2 linked regions of the Rattus norvegicus genome follow. The protein of the gene in region 2 interacts with the protein of the main gene of each other region in a pairwise test. Links are inferred from orthologs where the notes say so. Each region holds a gene or a part of one and is shown on either strand. Other genes may lie near its edges. The genes, in order: C19h16orf74 and Ppp3ca.

Region 1 (7,828 bases), on a different chromosome or scaffold from region 2:
CACAGAAGGTAGGGGCAGGAAGATGAGGGGTTCAAGGGCAGCCTTAACTACACAGAGAGTTTGGGACTAGCTTGGACTATTGTAGGATACTACTGAGAATCAAAACCTTAAGGCTGATCCTTGAGTCTGAGAGAGCTGGAGCAGTTTCCTGAGGCTGCATCCAGCTATGGAGACTTCAGCCCAGGTCCACAGGGGCCTGGGCTCTTGTACCACTGTCTTCACAGCTGCTACTGAGGTCCCATATAGAGGAGTCACCACTGCCTTCTCTCAACTGCCGAATACTATTTTATGCACGTGTGTGTGTGTGTGTGTGTGTGTGTACACGCGTGGACTCTAAGAGCTCTCTTCACAACCCCGCTTCCTGCACAGCCCACGGTGGCCTCTCAGGCTTCTTGGCAGCTGGTTTCCCCTGAGGAAGGGTGCTGGCATCTACTGCACCCCCATGCAGGCCTTCTTCACCTCCCCACTTCTGCCCTTGCAGGAGGCTGCTGATATGTAGCCAGCCAGGCCCTCGTGCTGAGTGCCCAGGGGCAGCAGAACAGTAGTTTCGCCATGTTTCTGGGTTACCAGAGGAGCAGGCAGAGTACAGGATGGGGCTCTGTGGTAACCAAGACTAAAGAGAGGGGCAGAGGGAAGGAAGAGGCCTGGCCTGTGGGAAGCAGCAGTGACTGGACTCTCAGTCTTCACCCTTTCTGGGTTGAACAGACCCAGAACGTTTTCAGTCTTTTTCTAGTCTGCCCGTCTACCAGGACAGCCCCACCCCAGCCTCTAGGACCACCTGCTGATGCCTGTTTCTTGGTCTCCTTGGTCCTCAGTCTAGTGCCAGCAAGGGTGGATGCACCTGACACAGGAAGTACTTGGGTCATGAGGAACAGCACACAGGAAATTGCTCCCGAGGCTGCTAATCCCTAGAGGTGAAGACGGGTGGGAGGGTGGGTGGGGACACTGTTCCCCTGGCCATGCAGATATAAGGGGTCCCAGAACTCAAAGGGGACCTGACTTCATAGCCATCCACCCAGGACAACACAAAGGATGCCCTCTGTCCCCCTAAAGCTTCAGATGATTCCGAGATGACTTCGCCAGGTACCATCTGATCTTCAATGTCTCTGTAGCCGTTTCCCACAACAGGGAGAGGTGACCCTCCTCCTCTACAACCCAGAGTCCCTTCCAGAAGCTTCAATACCACCTTGCCATAAAAGCAGCTGTGTACCTCAGTGCAGCCCTCAGCCTGGCTGCTTTATGGGCTCTTGACACTAAATTTTCAGGTCTCCATTGTGGCCAACTGTCACAACTGTCAGCCTTGCCTGGCCCAGCTGAGTCAGACTCCGGACTGGACAAGGTTGAGGGAATTACCACATCCGTTTCGTGTCCTTTTTCTTTTTGAGCCTCTTTCTTGTAACCCAGGCTGACCCTCTTACCTCCATCTCCAGAGTGTTGGGATCTCAGTTTATCGTGTTCTGGTGACAGAAACCAGGGCCTCATGCATGTTAGGCAAGCAATCTAGAAATGAGCCTCACCCTCAGCCACACTGGCTCATCCTGAGCTCCCCAGGTGATTCCTGCATGCTGTGGCTCTGGGAGCAACTGGGAAATACTCAGGGGCTCTCATCTAAGGATGAGTGTAAGTCCGGAGGTAGCTTTGTGCTCCTAACATCAGGACACTGTGTAGTGGCTTCAGGGGAGTGAGGGACCTCCACTGGGGGAGAAGATGGAGAGAGAAGCCATGGCCCAGAGGCTCAGCCCCAAGATCTCAGAGGCTGTGAGGAGAGCCCACCTCAGTACATCGAGTGACAGGAGCATTGCTCATCTTCCCATGTGCTCTCCGCACCCCCCACCAGAATGACTGGTATTCCCTCCATAAAGATAGCTCAGGACTGACTGGAGATGTTCAGTCAAGAAGCTCTACCTTTTCTGTAGCCTGTGACTCCCCTGTGCCAAAGTTCCCATAAGTGAGAATAAATGTGTACCCTAGACGGGTGTCACAGGCACATGGGCACATCAAGGCCCCTTGCCCTGGTGGCATCAAATCAGTACTCATGGAAAAGAACAAACCCAAGTTGAAGCCAAGAAGACAGACTGATGTCTAGCAGCACCAGCACTTGGCTAGCCCGGGTCCTTCGCCATCCAGAAGAGGAATTCCAAGGACTCTGGCTATCTCCAGGGGCTCCCATACCTGCTTTGTCACCATGAGAGGAGAGAGCCCCACCCCTTTGCTCCAGAATGCAGAACCTGGACATGGGGCCATTGGCAGCTCAGGAAGTAGTCTGTTGGGATTCATGGGAGGTGATGAACCGTTAGCAGGCACCTCATCGCCCTTGGAAGGCACCACAGAAAACCCCTAAGAAAACCAGGGATCAAGGAGAGGAAAATGTTAATCAAATATGTGCACATGTGTACGTGGGGAAGGGACAGGGCTGGTGGAAGTGATGTAAGATGCTATGTTGTGAAGCTGGAAATCACAGCAAATGCCTTGCACCAGTTCCTAAGCACTTCTGCTCATCTTGGTTCATGCCTGGAGACAGGCATGGCAGGCAGATGCAAAGTGCTTGCCCCGGAATGCTCACTTCACACGAAGACCTGGGGGCTCCAGCTGGGGCAGGTCCCACCTTGTCTGGGGAAGGTGGGGCATGGGCTATCCTGCCCACCTGTCCACTTCCGTTGGAATTCTGAAAAATATTTGATCCATTTCCTATCACTGAGACCTTAACAAAGCCAGGGGCTGAAATGTCACTGCATCGTTTAGTGATGGCTCAAAGTAGGGCGTGAGTACACCCACCACAGAAATTCCACTTTCCTGCCCTGGACTCGGTCTCCCCTTATAAACTCAGAAATATACATAGCACAAGGGCATGGAGACCTGAGGCTTGTAGGGTGGGCACACCCTACAGGTTTGGGACAAAGACTTGAGCTAGACAGTTGAGGGGGCATTCAAGGGGGGTCCCATGAGAGAGCCATTAAGACACAGACCTGGAAGCCACACCTGGCTATTGGAAGGGTGTGTCGGTATAGCTCAGTGGGGAACACTTGCTAGACTAATGGGAGAGAGGGAGGGGGAAGCCATACCATTTCCCTGGCATCAAAAACATAAAGACCTCTAGGCATTGGCCCAAGCTTGTAATACCGGGAGATAGAAACCAGAGGATCAGGGGTTCAAGGGCAGTGGGCTACAAGAGACTCTATTCTCAAATGATACAAAAGAAACCATGATTTAGGGAGTCAAGAGGCAGCAGCCCAAGGCCTCTTAGTCTGCGTTCTCAAGTCCTCTGCCAGCTGTGCCAGGCGGAGGCACGTGGCCAGTCAAAATGCCAGAACCCAGCAGCGGGGAAGCCCAGCCCGTGGGTCACAATGCCACCTGAACCTCCCAACTGCAGCGACGAGCTGGGGGCGTTACCTCTGCGTCTCTGCACAGGAGGTGGAGCCAGGCGCCCCTTTCCCCTCCACAGATCCGGGGACAGCGGGCCGGGCCGATGCCCAAACTTTCCCGGGTGTGGGGAGTGCGGCTGGGGTGGGGGAGGCAGCCAGGGAGGCGCGGCGGCAGGGGTTGTGGCTGAGCCCTGGGCGGGCTGTGGGGCGGAGCGGTCCGGGCGGCACCGCCCTCCAGGTGCCGGGCGGGGGCCGAGGCAAGCGCCGCTGCAGGGAGAGCAGGCCGGGCCATGACCCCCGCGGCCCACGGCTGCAGGCGCGTCGCCTGGTGTCCCTCACGGCAGCCAGCGTCCGCGCCCAGCGCGCCCCAGGAAGCGGTGAGTGTGCGCGCGCCGTGCGCGCCACGGCAGACGCTCCGGGACCTGGGGTTTGGCGATCTGGGACATAGGGAGGGACCCAGGATGAGGGACCTTAGGATCGTGGAGACCTAGGAAGATAGGGATCCGGAGGTGGGGAATCCGAAACGGTGGAGACCGGGGTTGCAGAACCCGGGAGGGGAGGGAGAGTGGGGTGGGGTAAAGACGGGGGGGGGTAGCCTGTGTAGACCCCACGGTGGTAGGGACTCCAGAGTGATGGGAGACCCTTTGGCCCCTGGCGACCCACAACTTCCTGCAGACTTCGCTGATCTGCTCGGCCTCCTCTGGCCGCGTGTCTGACATCGGGCGGGGGCGTGTCCCGCGCGTGGCAGCCTCAGGCCCCTCTTTGCACCCGACTGGGTTGTCAGGTTGCCGAGCAGTCGGGCAAGGTGGGGGCAGGAGGCCTCGGGAGAAACCGCTTCCCTCCACCAAGTGTTTCGAATGTATTATTGATGAGCTGCCTCGCTTAGGGGCGCCCAGTACATCAAAGCAGCTTCGCGACCGCAAAGGGCGACCCGCTCGAAGCAGGCACTTCTCTTGGCAGGGCTGGCCCTGGCAGATCTGGGGAGGGCGCTTATTAAAAAGAGGACCCGCAGCTCCCCTTGGGGATTCTGAGGGCAGGAAGGACTTCTGGTCTTTGCCAAGAGAACAGTGCAGCGCAATGTAGGAGTCGTTCCCGAGAGAGTATAGAAATGTTAGAACACGCCCTGTTTTACAGATAAGGAAACTGAGTCCCAGATGGCTTCTCCCGAGTGGCAGACTCTGATGTCTCTCTAGCCTGAGACACTTCCCTGGTTGTGCTAGCAGAAGAGAGCACCTCTTGCCCATTCAGATCCCTTTCCTAGCCAGGGCACAATGTAGCCTTGGTTGCATCGTGGTCCCCCCTCCCCCAGGTTTCCCTCCCTCAGGTCCGGGTCCTCTGCACAGGAGAAAGGCTGTGTATTTATGGAAAGACTTAATCCCTCCACCAACCCCAAGGCCGTGGAAAGCTGTGTCTAATCTGTCCCTGGAAGGCCTCAGCTGGTGGGCACACACCAGGCCAGAGTGTGCGTCCCCTAGGGAGGCGTAGGTCACTCGGGAGACTTAAAAAGCAACTCGTCCTCCTGGGCTGAGGACGCTGAGACATTAGTGCTTAGCCAGCAATTGGCTAGTGCCAGGCCTGCTCCTGAGCTGTCTTTACTCACACCAACCCTCTAACCAAAGCCTCCTCTTGTCCCCATTTTAAAGGCAGGAAACTGAGGCAGGAAGGTTGATAAGTCCAGGTGTTAGCACCGAGGCAGGAGGGAATGGCTTTCATCTCAGGTGCGGAGGTGGGGTGGGGAGCTGGGCCAGGTCTGTAGAATCATGGGAAGTAAGACCAACATAGAGACTGATATAGCCCACTCAACAGAAATCCTCTTTGAGTGTCAGTCTCCCAGCCGCCCCCTCTCCCTGCCAAGGTCCCCCTACTAGTAACCACCGAAGTATTATCCTTCCCCCTGTCCCTGTCATCAATCTTTAGGGGGAAAAATTAATTTATTTTTTATGTGTACCAGTGTTTTGCTGGCATATATGTCTGCCCCCTATACATGCCTGGTGCCCTTTGAGGGCCTTGGATCTGGAGCTGGAGTTACAAGCGGTTGTGAGCTACTATGGGGTGCTGGGAACAGAATCCAGGTCCTCTGCGAGAGAAATAAATACTCTTAACCACTGACCCCTCTTCTCCTCACACCATCCCACCTGGGTGTTCAGTCTGCACTGTTAGAGAAAACATCTGGATACTTTGTTGCACTGTTACCCGTTGTTAGCTGTGGGCTTTATTGTTTAGCAGATGTTTTTAATGCTATGGAAGCCGCAGAGTGGAGCATGGATATCCACTAAGTGGCCCAGAGCAGGCAGCAGGCTGGTTAGCCCCCAGTGGGGGTCTCAGTGATTGTTGGCCTCTCTAGCTTCCCTGAGACTCTCGGTTCAGCTTTCTGGCCTTGAAGGGAGGTACCCCAAGGCTAGCATCTATTCTCAGCACGGTGCTGGAGCTGGAATTGAAAGAATTCTAATCCTGCTGCACAAATCAAGTGACTTTCCTAAAGAAGGAAGAAAGTCAGATGCGCCTGTGCCGGGTGGAAACAGCTCCATGTGGGAGCTTGGGAAGCTGCTAAAAGACCAGGTTGCCCTGCCCTGCTTCCCCCAGCCTCTCAGGTCCACACACCTAGCAAACAGTCACATTCCTTCATTCTGACTGCTCCTGCCCAGCCTGATTCTTAAAGGACAGCTTTGTTAAGGAGGTGGGGCCGAGTACCACTGTGACTCAGGCTCTCTTGGCAGAAGGCACTGGGCAGAGACCATGGTGAGGGGCTCTCCCACCCCAACTCTCTGCTATTCAGTCTTCTATTCAGGATAGCTGATGCCACGCCCTCGGGGTTAAGGCTAAAGTAGCCAAGGTTCCAAAGAAGGAACCAAAAGAGGCCCATCTCAGGCCAACTGCAGGTTCATACTGAATCATAGGATATAGCTTTCCCACACGGGACCCAGGCATCCTCCCTACAGCCTGGAGCCTGACACTTCATCCCTCAGCTGCTCTAGGTTTGTGCGGCCCTGGAGCCCAGCCTCCCCCAGACACAGTGCAGAGCCTGCCTTCTATGAGCAGGTGCCCATCATGATGCTGTCTGATTTTCTGTGTGTTGCAAACCTGTGAGAGCCAGGTGGCGAAGTCACTTCTGATGCAATTAGTCTCCAAAGCCCAGAGAAGCCCTCACTATCCGCTTTCTGAGGCTCTTCTTGAGTTTTGACTGTGTCGTGTGCAGTACAGCGGGTGAGCCCTCCCTCTGCAGGAGCTCAGGAGGGAGTAGACCCAACCCTGCAAGAGGAAGTAAGGGTTTCTAACTGCCTGCTTGTCACTGGGGAGGATCTGGCGACCATTTGGTGATGAGGTTTTATGTCTCCAAGCCCATTGTTCTGAGGAGACTGTAAACAGAGCTCAGGTACTCTAAAGAGGAAGCTGTTCACACTGCAAAGGTGTCAAGTGAGAGACTTTATGCCCAGGCCCCCTCCCAGGATAGCCAGCAGCCTGTCACTTCCCTCTGCTCATGTGCTGCCCTGGTACTTAGCTGAACTGACAATTGAACTGAGGGAAGGATGACCCTGGACCCCCCTTTCAGGAGGAGGAGGAGGGAGTTCTTTTGAAACCAGATCTCAAGCTCCCTATGTAACTGGTGCTAGCCCTGAACTCCTTATCTTTGAGCCTCCACATTTTAAATCACTGGATTAAAAGTGTGCAGCCCTGTGCCTGGCTCGGTGTGCATTTCCTGTGAACCAGCTTGTCCTTCACAAAACAATGACACCGTGACCTGGATCAGAGGCATTACCGTGAGCTCCAGGCTGCCACCTAAGATGGGCTTTTTCCTTTTCCATTTTTGTCCTGTGTGTGCACATGCTTTTGTATGTGTGTGGGTATACATGCGGGGTGGGGGAGAATGCATATACATTGTGACTGCAAGGACATGTGGAGGCCTGAGGCTGATGTCAAGAGTCATCCATTGTTCTTCAGCCTCATTCATTGAGTCAGGATCTGTCAATCAAAGTCAGAGCTCATAGGTGTGCTTGCCAGCCAGCTCTGAGGATCCCCAGCCTCTGCTTTGAGACCAGCGGGGATCCGAACCCGGTTCCTCATCCTTGCCTTACAGGCACTTTAACTGCCGAGACATCTTCCCAGCCCCCGTGGGTGGGTTTGGTTTGGTTTGGTTTGGTTTTGACGAATACTTTGCGGACATATACTCTACCCTGACTGCCAGCCTCAGCCTCAAAGCAGTTCCCACTCAAAGCTGGCCTTCTCCCACCACCACCACCGCCACCACCACTACCACCACCACTTTGACTTTGTTTCTGGCACATTCCAGGCATGACAAAGACTAACACCCTCACTGTTCCCATGCTCTGTTGGGTGGCTGAAACCAACTCCCAACAGACAGAACCGGAGGAGCCAAGCTCCAAAATGGGAGTGCACACCCTGCTGAGTGTCTGACTGTATGTAGCCTGGCTGTAGTCAATGGGCCCCTGATGAGGTGATTGACAAGC
Region 2 (7,828 bases):
ATCATTTTAAGCAGGTCAGGAAGAATAAACTGATTCAAAAATGACACATTTGTACCTAACACCGATATCAGCATAAATCACATTAACTACATTCTAAGGCAGATAGATTGTTGCCTTTTATGGGCCATCTAATAGTGTCTATTTAAAGCAAAGGTTCATTTCTGTGCTATAAAACAACAACATTGTATTTACTTCTCCTAGAAGTTAATAACATTTAGAGCCATTGGAATTTCCCTAAATCTCCCTTTCTTACAAACCTTTGAAAACGTTACATCTGTGTTACCTTTACTCTTTAAGAAATCCTGAAAGTAAATGTTACAGAATACATCAACCCAATTGATAGTTAGCATCACCGATGTGTATGCTATTCGCTCAACTATATTCATGTCAGGACTCTGTCATCTGTGGTAGCAGCTATCCTAGCAAATGCCTTTCTTAACAGTTAGTGCCAATGTAAACTCTACCCACCAAATACTGATGTTTAACGATAATGGACTTAAATCAATTATACTATATTCCAAAGGAAGGCCGGACAAATAAAATCAATCAACTGGTAGCAAATTAATCGAGTCATTAAAATGTACGTAAAATAAATTTGAAAAGAGCTCTACTTCATAGCCCCACCACTTTGTTTCCTTTTGCAAATACAACAGTCATTAGTGATTTGCCAAATTCTTGTTTTCTTTCTGAAACACCAGTGCCCCTCAGCTATAAACACTGATGGCTTACATCATCAGTTACTTAGTAACAGTCTGTCCACTCCTGCATTCTTGCTTCTGTGATCTTAGACATCTTCCCAGAATCTCTCTACCTGTACCTGATTACATGAAGAGCTCAAAGGTGACAGGGTGTGCAACAGCAGCTATCGTCCCCAAACCGAACGCAAACATCTACAGAGGAGAACCAAGCACAGTCTACGGGACTCTTCCCAGGAATCTACCCTCTGACAGCCTGCCAGACTCTGAAAAGTCAATTATTATAATCAGTTTGGGATAAGGTAAAAGGCCCATTATAAAATATTTGAAGATGAGAAAAGAATTATCCAGAGCCAGAGCACTGCCACAAACACATCAGTCTAATCTCCTCCAAATACTTCTATCAAAGGGCAAACTTTACAGCCAATGGAACCTTACAGAGAGGACAGAGAAAAACAACCAAAAACAAAAGTGTCAATAGATTTCTTGAGCATACTACAAAGGAAAGAAGGCAATAGGATATGTTGGGGGTGCGGAAGAGAGCTAGTCACCCTATTAACTTCAGTCTTGTACTGATTCCAGTATTCTCCGTGTAGCTTTCAAACATGATGTGAGTCAGACATGGTGCAGCACTCCTGAAATCACCTCTGAAGACTGAGGCAGGAGGATCTTGAGTTTGGAGTAAGCCCTCAACATATATACAGTCTTTCTCAAAACAAACAAATAAAGTTTGCATGCTCCAATGTATAAACAAACAAGCAAATGGATCAAATTATCCTGGTTCCCAACAAACAGAATGCCAAAACAGTTTCTCTGAATTCTAACAACTTTTACATTTGTTTTTAAATTTAAGAACAGTCAAATAAACCAACAGATGATTCGTTAGTTGAGGTCATTGTTCTGTGGAAATAATCTAACTGAAGGATTTCTTCTTGAAGTTTAAAGACTCTGTACATGATGTAGCTGACTCAACAAGCGTCTACACTGCCATGGTGTTGAAGCTAAAACTCCACCTACCTTTCTAAGGTTGCCTTCTGGAAACACAAATCAAGAGAGCTGCAGAAAGCTGCTGTCCTATTACTATAAACAAAACCACAAGCACAGAGTCACTTGTAAATAGCAATTTGTCATCCGGCAAAAGCCAGATCATAGCAACAAAGATAACTGTAGGAAAAGGCCCTGCATGCCAAAGGACTGGTCTGACTATTCCTATAGGTATCAAGTACAGCTACTGATACATTTTATAAGAGGAGACAGGACCTCAAGAGCTCATCAAAGATAAGCCGCTTCCTGTGTTAAGGAATGACTTCGAGAAAGACAATTGACATGAAGGTTTCAGAAGCTATGAACTAAAATAATGTTTTGTGTACTGCATACTACTATGTCCACTTTAAAATGAAAAATAATTCTGTGATTTTTTCCCACTCAGCATACGTCTTCCTTTCCACTTGTTAAATGTGGATATAATATTCAAGGGGATCAAAATAGATTATCGTCTCAAAATTCTAATCCTGAAAGTCTTATGCATGACAAAATGTTGTCTGGAAGCCTGTGTCAGGACTTTTAAACCAATGACAGAAAATGAGCAAGAAAGCATGAGAGAAACAAAGCAATGGCAGGGTGCCCATCTGAAAGTCGGGAGTCATCAATATTTTTTTTCTATAAACAAAATCTTCCAGTAGAATCCCTATCAAAACAAGTGGAAGATTACAGTAATGTTTCCTATTTTGAATCTGCAGCCCACAGGTATATATCACTTCTGAAAAAAATACATGAATCAAAATTTTGGAGTTATGGATGTGCCTACATACTAGTGGAGGAAGTCATTTATAAAACCCGACACTGAAGCATGAGGCAAAAGAGCTATGGAATGGTTGGACGCTGGCTCTGCCTCTTAACTGGTAAACATATCAAGCAATTAGCTTTACACAGTTTACTTGCTGACAATGACAATGAAAATCTACATTTTAGAGATACACACTTTAGAAATCCCCGTTTGACATCTAAAAGAGAAAATGTGACAGGACTTTTTTTTACTACCAGCACATAGTGTCGTCTGAATTGTAAACTATTACTTTGTTTAGAAAACAAAGTATCTTTGCCTTGGAACTATGCCTAAATATCACACACTAAGGAGATCCTGATCACCGCACAAGACCGTTGTGCACTTCAGGATCTGGCACCAATTTTTTTTTTTTTTTTACAGAGCTATCCCTATTCCCTCTCTATTTTGACGGCTCCATGAATCCTACTTTGAAGTAGGAATGATTCCAATATAACCAAAAGGAGTGAAGATATTTTATTCTCTCACAAAAGAGAACATAACACACACCCACACAAAGCACAACACAACACAACACAACACAACTCAAAACTTTAAATGTGGAGCAAATGTAAAAGTATCCCCTGGCGCAAGTATCCTTTCTTAAAGCTCCTGAGAATATGTATCATGGTCTTAGGGCGGGCGCCGGGTTACTTTCACGTAAGTGTTCCTGGAGCAAATGACTTGATTGCTTTGCACTCTAGCTAAAGGCTCTGCTGCATAAGATACCGTCTCCGATCTCATCACACACACACACACACACACACACACACACACACACACACACACACACACACCGCCCCCATCACTCCTTCCAGTTTCAGAGGCCCGCTCTGCACAGGCTGGTGCCCATCTTAGCTTTGCTGGGAACATTGACCCCAAGAATAAGTGTCACTACTTAATCCTTTCGAATCTGCACCTCCTCCCCCATTCAGCGCTGGAATACAGTGAGACTGGTGGGATCCCTCCAAAGGATAGAAAGGGCAACCACGTTGTCCCCTTCCTAACCCCAAGCATCCCCCGGGGTTTTCACCTAGCTAGCAACCCAGAGCCATCTCCGCCAGTTGTACACATACAAGTCATCCCTGGCAATAAAGACAACCAAATAGCCTGTTACCAAGGGGGTGTTAGAAGCTTGGGGGAAGGGAGCATGGTGAGCTCCCCCCAACACACACACACACCCCAGAGGTGTGCACCAGCAGGGAACCCTTTAAGAGCAATGACAGGTCGGCGGCAGTCAGCCATGGGTGGCAAGGGAGGTCGACAGAGGATCACCACCGCTCGCGTCGCTCCGGGCCTGCGGGGAAATCCCGGGGCGGCGGCGGGGGCTCCGGTCGTCCCCCGCCTGGCGCTGCCCCCACGCGGCCCCGGTCCCCCCCCCCCGCGGCGCGCGGCAGCCGGAGCTGGGCTCCCCCCACGCTCTCCCGCTCTCTCGCGAGTCCTGTGCAGGCCCTTCCCGCGGAGGGGGAGGGGGCGCCCAGGGAACTGCTGCAATGGAGCGCCTGGAGCAATGTGCCGGGGCGAGCCAGTCCGCGGCAAGCCACGGCCACATAAAAATGCCCTATTAATTTTTTAAAAGCCATAAATCACCTCCCCTCCCTCTACAAAGAGCAAACCATAAACCCGATCCCATGCAAGCCTGCGAGCAGCCACCCACTTCCTATTTCTGTCACAGCAGCTACACCCTGCCAGCAGTCACCCCCACCCCGGGCGCCCCCTCCCGCCACCGCCACCCCCGCCACCGCCTCCCAGCCACTCAGCCATTTGCCAACTGCTGCCCCCCGGTCCACAAAAATAAATAAATAAAAATAAATACATACATAAATAAAAGCCCCCATTAGGGCCGGGTGGGCGGTGTGGGGGCAGGGCGCGGCGGAGGAGGGGATCGCCTCTTGCAGGAGATCCTAGAAGGTCCCCGGCGCTAGCTGGAGAGGGACAACCGGGGCGGGGGAGGGGCGGACGGTCGCCTGCGGCACTCGGTGCACCCCGGGCCGCCGCGGCGCTGCGCTTACCTTTCACCACCCTGTCGGTAGTCGACAACTTGGGATCAATCGCCTTGGGCTCGGACATCTCCAGTCACCGGGAGGGGGGGACAGCGACGCGCTGCTGGTCCCGTCCGACTGCACACCCCGACCGCACCGGCGGGCCAGACACTCAGCGCCGCCGCCGCCGCGCTGCAAACCGCTCGGCTGGAGCTCCGGGCTCTGGGCTGGCTCGAAAGTTACTGCCGGCTCCGCGCGTCCCTCCTCCGCCGCCGCCGCCTTCACTCCTCCTCCGCCGCCACCAGCCCCGCCGCCTCGCTCCGGGCTGCGCGTGTGTGCTGGTTATTTATTTATTTTCTGAGCACGCCTCCCGGTTCTTCTTTTATTCTTGGGGACGGGGCGGGGGATGGGGAGGAGAAGCGCACGCGAGCACCCACCCCGGCACCGACACCGGGCGCCGCGCAATGGAGCCCCCACGCGCGCACACGGTCGGGATTAAGACCGATCACATGGGGAGGGCCGGGGGCGAGGGAGGAGAGGCAGGGCCGCGGATGTCAGCGCCGCCAGCCGCGCCTCGGCTTCCCGGTGGTGGAGAGGCGGCTGCCGCTGCGGCCGCCGCAGCTTCCCCACGCCGATTGTCGCCGGGCGCCGCCGGGGCCGCGGCAGCCGTAGACGTCCCGCCGCCGCGCTCGTCCGCGATCCTCCTCTGCCTCGCGGCGCCGCTGCTTCTCCACGCACAGGAAAGAGCCGCTGAGCTCGGTGGACACAGTCCGGGGCACAACCTCGCCTTCGCCGCCGCGCCGGCCGCCGCCACCACCGCGCCCGCCTCCGCCTCCTCCCCTTCCTCCTCACCGCCCCCGCCTCCAGCGCCAGGGCCACCTCCTCCTCGGGGTCCGCCTCAGGGCCCGCCCCACGTTGCACATCGCAAGCTCATTGGCTGTGGCGCGCATCCCTCATCGCTAAGGCGGTGGTCTGTGTGACCGCCCCGCCCCCTGCTCTGTTTTCTTCGGGGTGCCAGTCAGTCCCGCGGGCCTGCAGCCTCCACCGCCCTGTGGCCGCTCAAGTGTCACTGGAGTGGGCAGAGAGGAGGGAGGCTGGGCTGGGAGTAGGGCCCCGGAGGAACTGGGCTGCAGCGTGTCACCACGCTTGCGGGTTCCCGAGGTCCCGCACACACTCCCGGGTGTGTCGCGGCCGCTGCTAGTGTGTGCATGGCCCGCAGTAGTGAGTTCGGAGACCCAGGAGGGAGAAAGAAGGAGCGCCCGACGCTCCGGGCAAGCGGCGCAGCTGCTGTAGCTGCCGCAGCTGTCCAGGGAGGATCGCCAAGGAAGGCGACGAGTAAACAGCTTACCTTGGGGAGACAGCTCTGCCTGGGCTAGGTGGATGCGGATTACTGCTGCTGGGGTGGTTAGGACGCGTGCACAACTTCAAGGGAAGAGGCGAAAGTGTGTTTGGGGCGCTGCGGGACGCGGTGACTGGCTATCCAAGGAGGATGGCAGCGGACTGGAGCCTATGTGACCCTGGCTATGTTCAGTGACCCTGGACGCCCTAGGGGATAAGAGGAGTCAGAAAGATTCAGGAGAGGTCGCCTTTTCCCTGTTGACTGGAGCTAGCAGTCATTGGTGTGGGTAGGTGACACTAAATGTCCTCCTGCTCCTTCCAGTCAGTCACTGTAGGGCCTTAGCCTGTTGCAGTTTCTCACCAGTCTCTCCTAAGAAAGAAAATAAGGGACAGAGTATGAAATGCTGATGGCCCAGGTAGATCCTTTCAAACAGTTCTGGCTTCAGGAAGAGACTTCTCTTCAGAATGTCTTCTGGGCACTGGCCTACCACAACTCCAAGGACCAGCAAGGAAATTATGAAGAAAGCTGAATAAACTTCTCACCCTTGTCCTTCCTGTTTTACTTGCAAATTCCTTCAATATCAGGGTTTTCCTATTTCCTGAATTGGACTGTGGGCTCAATAAAAGGCCTACTAAAGGGTATATAAAGCAAGCTGTTGGTGGCGCACTCCTTTAGTTCCAGCATGTGGGAGACAGAGGCAGGAGGATATCTGAAAGTTCCAGGCTAGTCTGTTCTACAGACTGAGTCCCAAGACAGCCAGGACTGTTCCACAAAGAAAGCTTGTGTTGGAGGGGAGGAAGTTTAGGAAGATAGAAGATGGAGCTGAAAGAACTGTTCTGGCCACAGGGGTCAGGTGAAACTCAAGTCTGAAAAACTAAAATTTAATAGCAGCCTGGTGGCCCCGGAGCACAATAACTAGGTAGCCTTAAGAAATTAGAACGGAGGATGCTACAAGGCAGGCCTGCTAGTCAGAGGAAGGGATGGAGTTGGTGGGCACATCCCGTCAGCAAAGGGAGGCTGCCCCTGGTGGCCAGATTTCTGCAGCTAAATTTGCAACCTCTAGGTCCCCTTGCTTTCAGTAAGATCTATATAGCCCAGTGGAATTTTCGGGGAACATAAAATGATCTCCAAGAGGACTCTATACTCTCCCCAGTTAGGGGTTGTTGCAAACAGCCTCCTGGGCTAGAGCACAGCTAGTTGCCAAGGCAGATTTGGGAAGCTGGTCCCTGGCCAGATGACTGGAAGCGAGGGAAGGATGCCAAGACCTGTGGGTGAGAAGGGCCTGCTGCAGGAAAGACCTGGAAACCTTATCTGGGGATACTCGATTTTAAGGCCAAGACTCCCTCCCCCACATGCTGCACACAGATGCAACTGTTATTTACAGGAACTCTCCCCTGGGCATAGGCAAGGTGCCCTGGAACTAGGATCAGAGGCTAAAGGTAGCAAACACACGGGAAAGTTTTATGACAGAAATAGGAACCAAATGTATACCTTTCAGACACACCCTTCAGTCCACCGCAAGTCTACCAGCTAGAACCCTGGCTAGAACAGCACCAAGCTAAGGTCTGAGTGAGTGGAAGAGAAAACAAACGGTAATCACTTTGCACAGCACATCTTTCTATCATCCGATACTTTGTGTGTGTGTGTGTTTGTGTGTGTGTGTGTTTCCCAGCCTACTCAACCAGATAGCCAAGGTATCCCTGTTAGCCTGTCATCCCTTCAGAGGCCAGCTCTCTGCTATGACTATTCTTTTCCCTTTCTCCTTAAACCCTGTTAGAGTCCTAAAACAGTTCTTGACCATATTCAAACTGACAAAGACTAACTTACATTTTGGAATCCACATTTTCAAGGTGACAGCTTCGGTGTTCAGGCACTAGCTTTGGAAATGTCCTTTGCTTATGGAGAGAAGGTAAAATTTTTAAAAAATGATTAAAAGACAGCATTTCATCCACTAAGCAAAATTAATATGGTGTTCCTTCGTTTAATTATC

What was found.
Region 1: the proteins of Ppp3ca (region 2) and C19h16orf74 interact in binary tests that used the Homo sapiens proteins (3 or more experiments, as listed by UniProt). The two-hybrid records come from large-scale screens. The link is inferred for Rattus norvegicus from reciprocal best matches to the Homo sapiens genes PPP3CA and C16orf74.

The regions. Positions count from the first base shown.
Region 1 is NC_086037.1:65,590,783-65,598,610, reverse strand, and holds the start of C19h16orf74 (uncharacterized protein C16orf74 homolog), read left to right. Parts: upstream 1-3,616; 5' UTR 3,617-3,652; coding exon 3,653-3,739; intron 3,740-7,828.
Region 2 is NC_086020.1:227,836,572-227,844,399, reverse strand, and holds the start of Ppp3ca (protein phosphatase 3 catalytic subunit alpha), read right to left. Parts: upstream 4,794-7,828; 5' UTR 4,588-4,793; coding exon 4,530-4,587; coding exon of another isoform or gene 4,338-4,529; intron 1-4,337. UniProt on the Homo sapiens protein: Calcium-dependent, calmodulin-stimulated protein phosphatase which plays an essential role in the transduction of intracellular Ca(2+)-mediated signals. Many of the substrates contain a PxIxIT motif and/or a LxVP motif.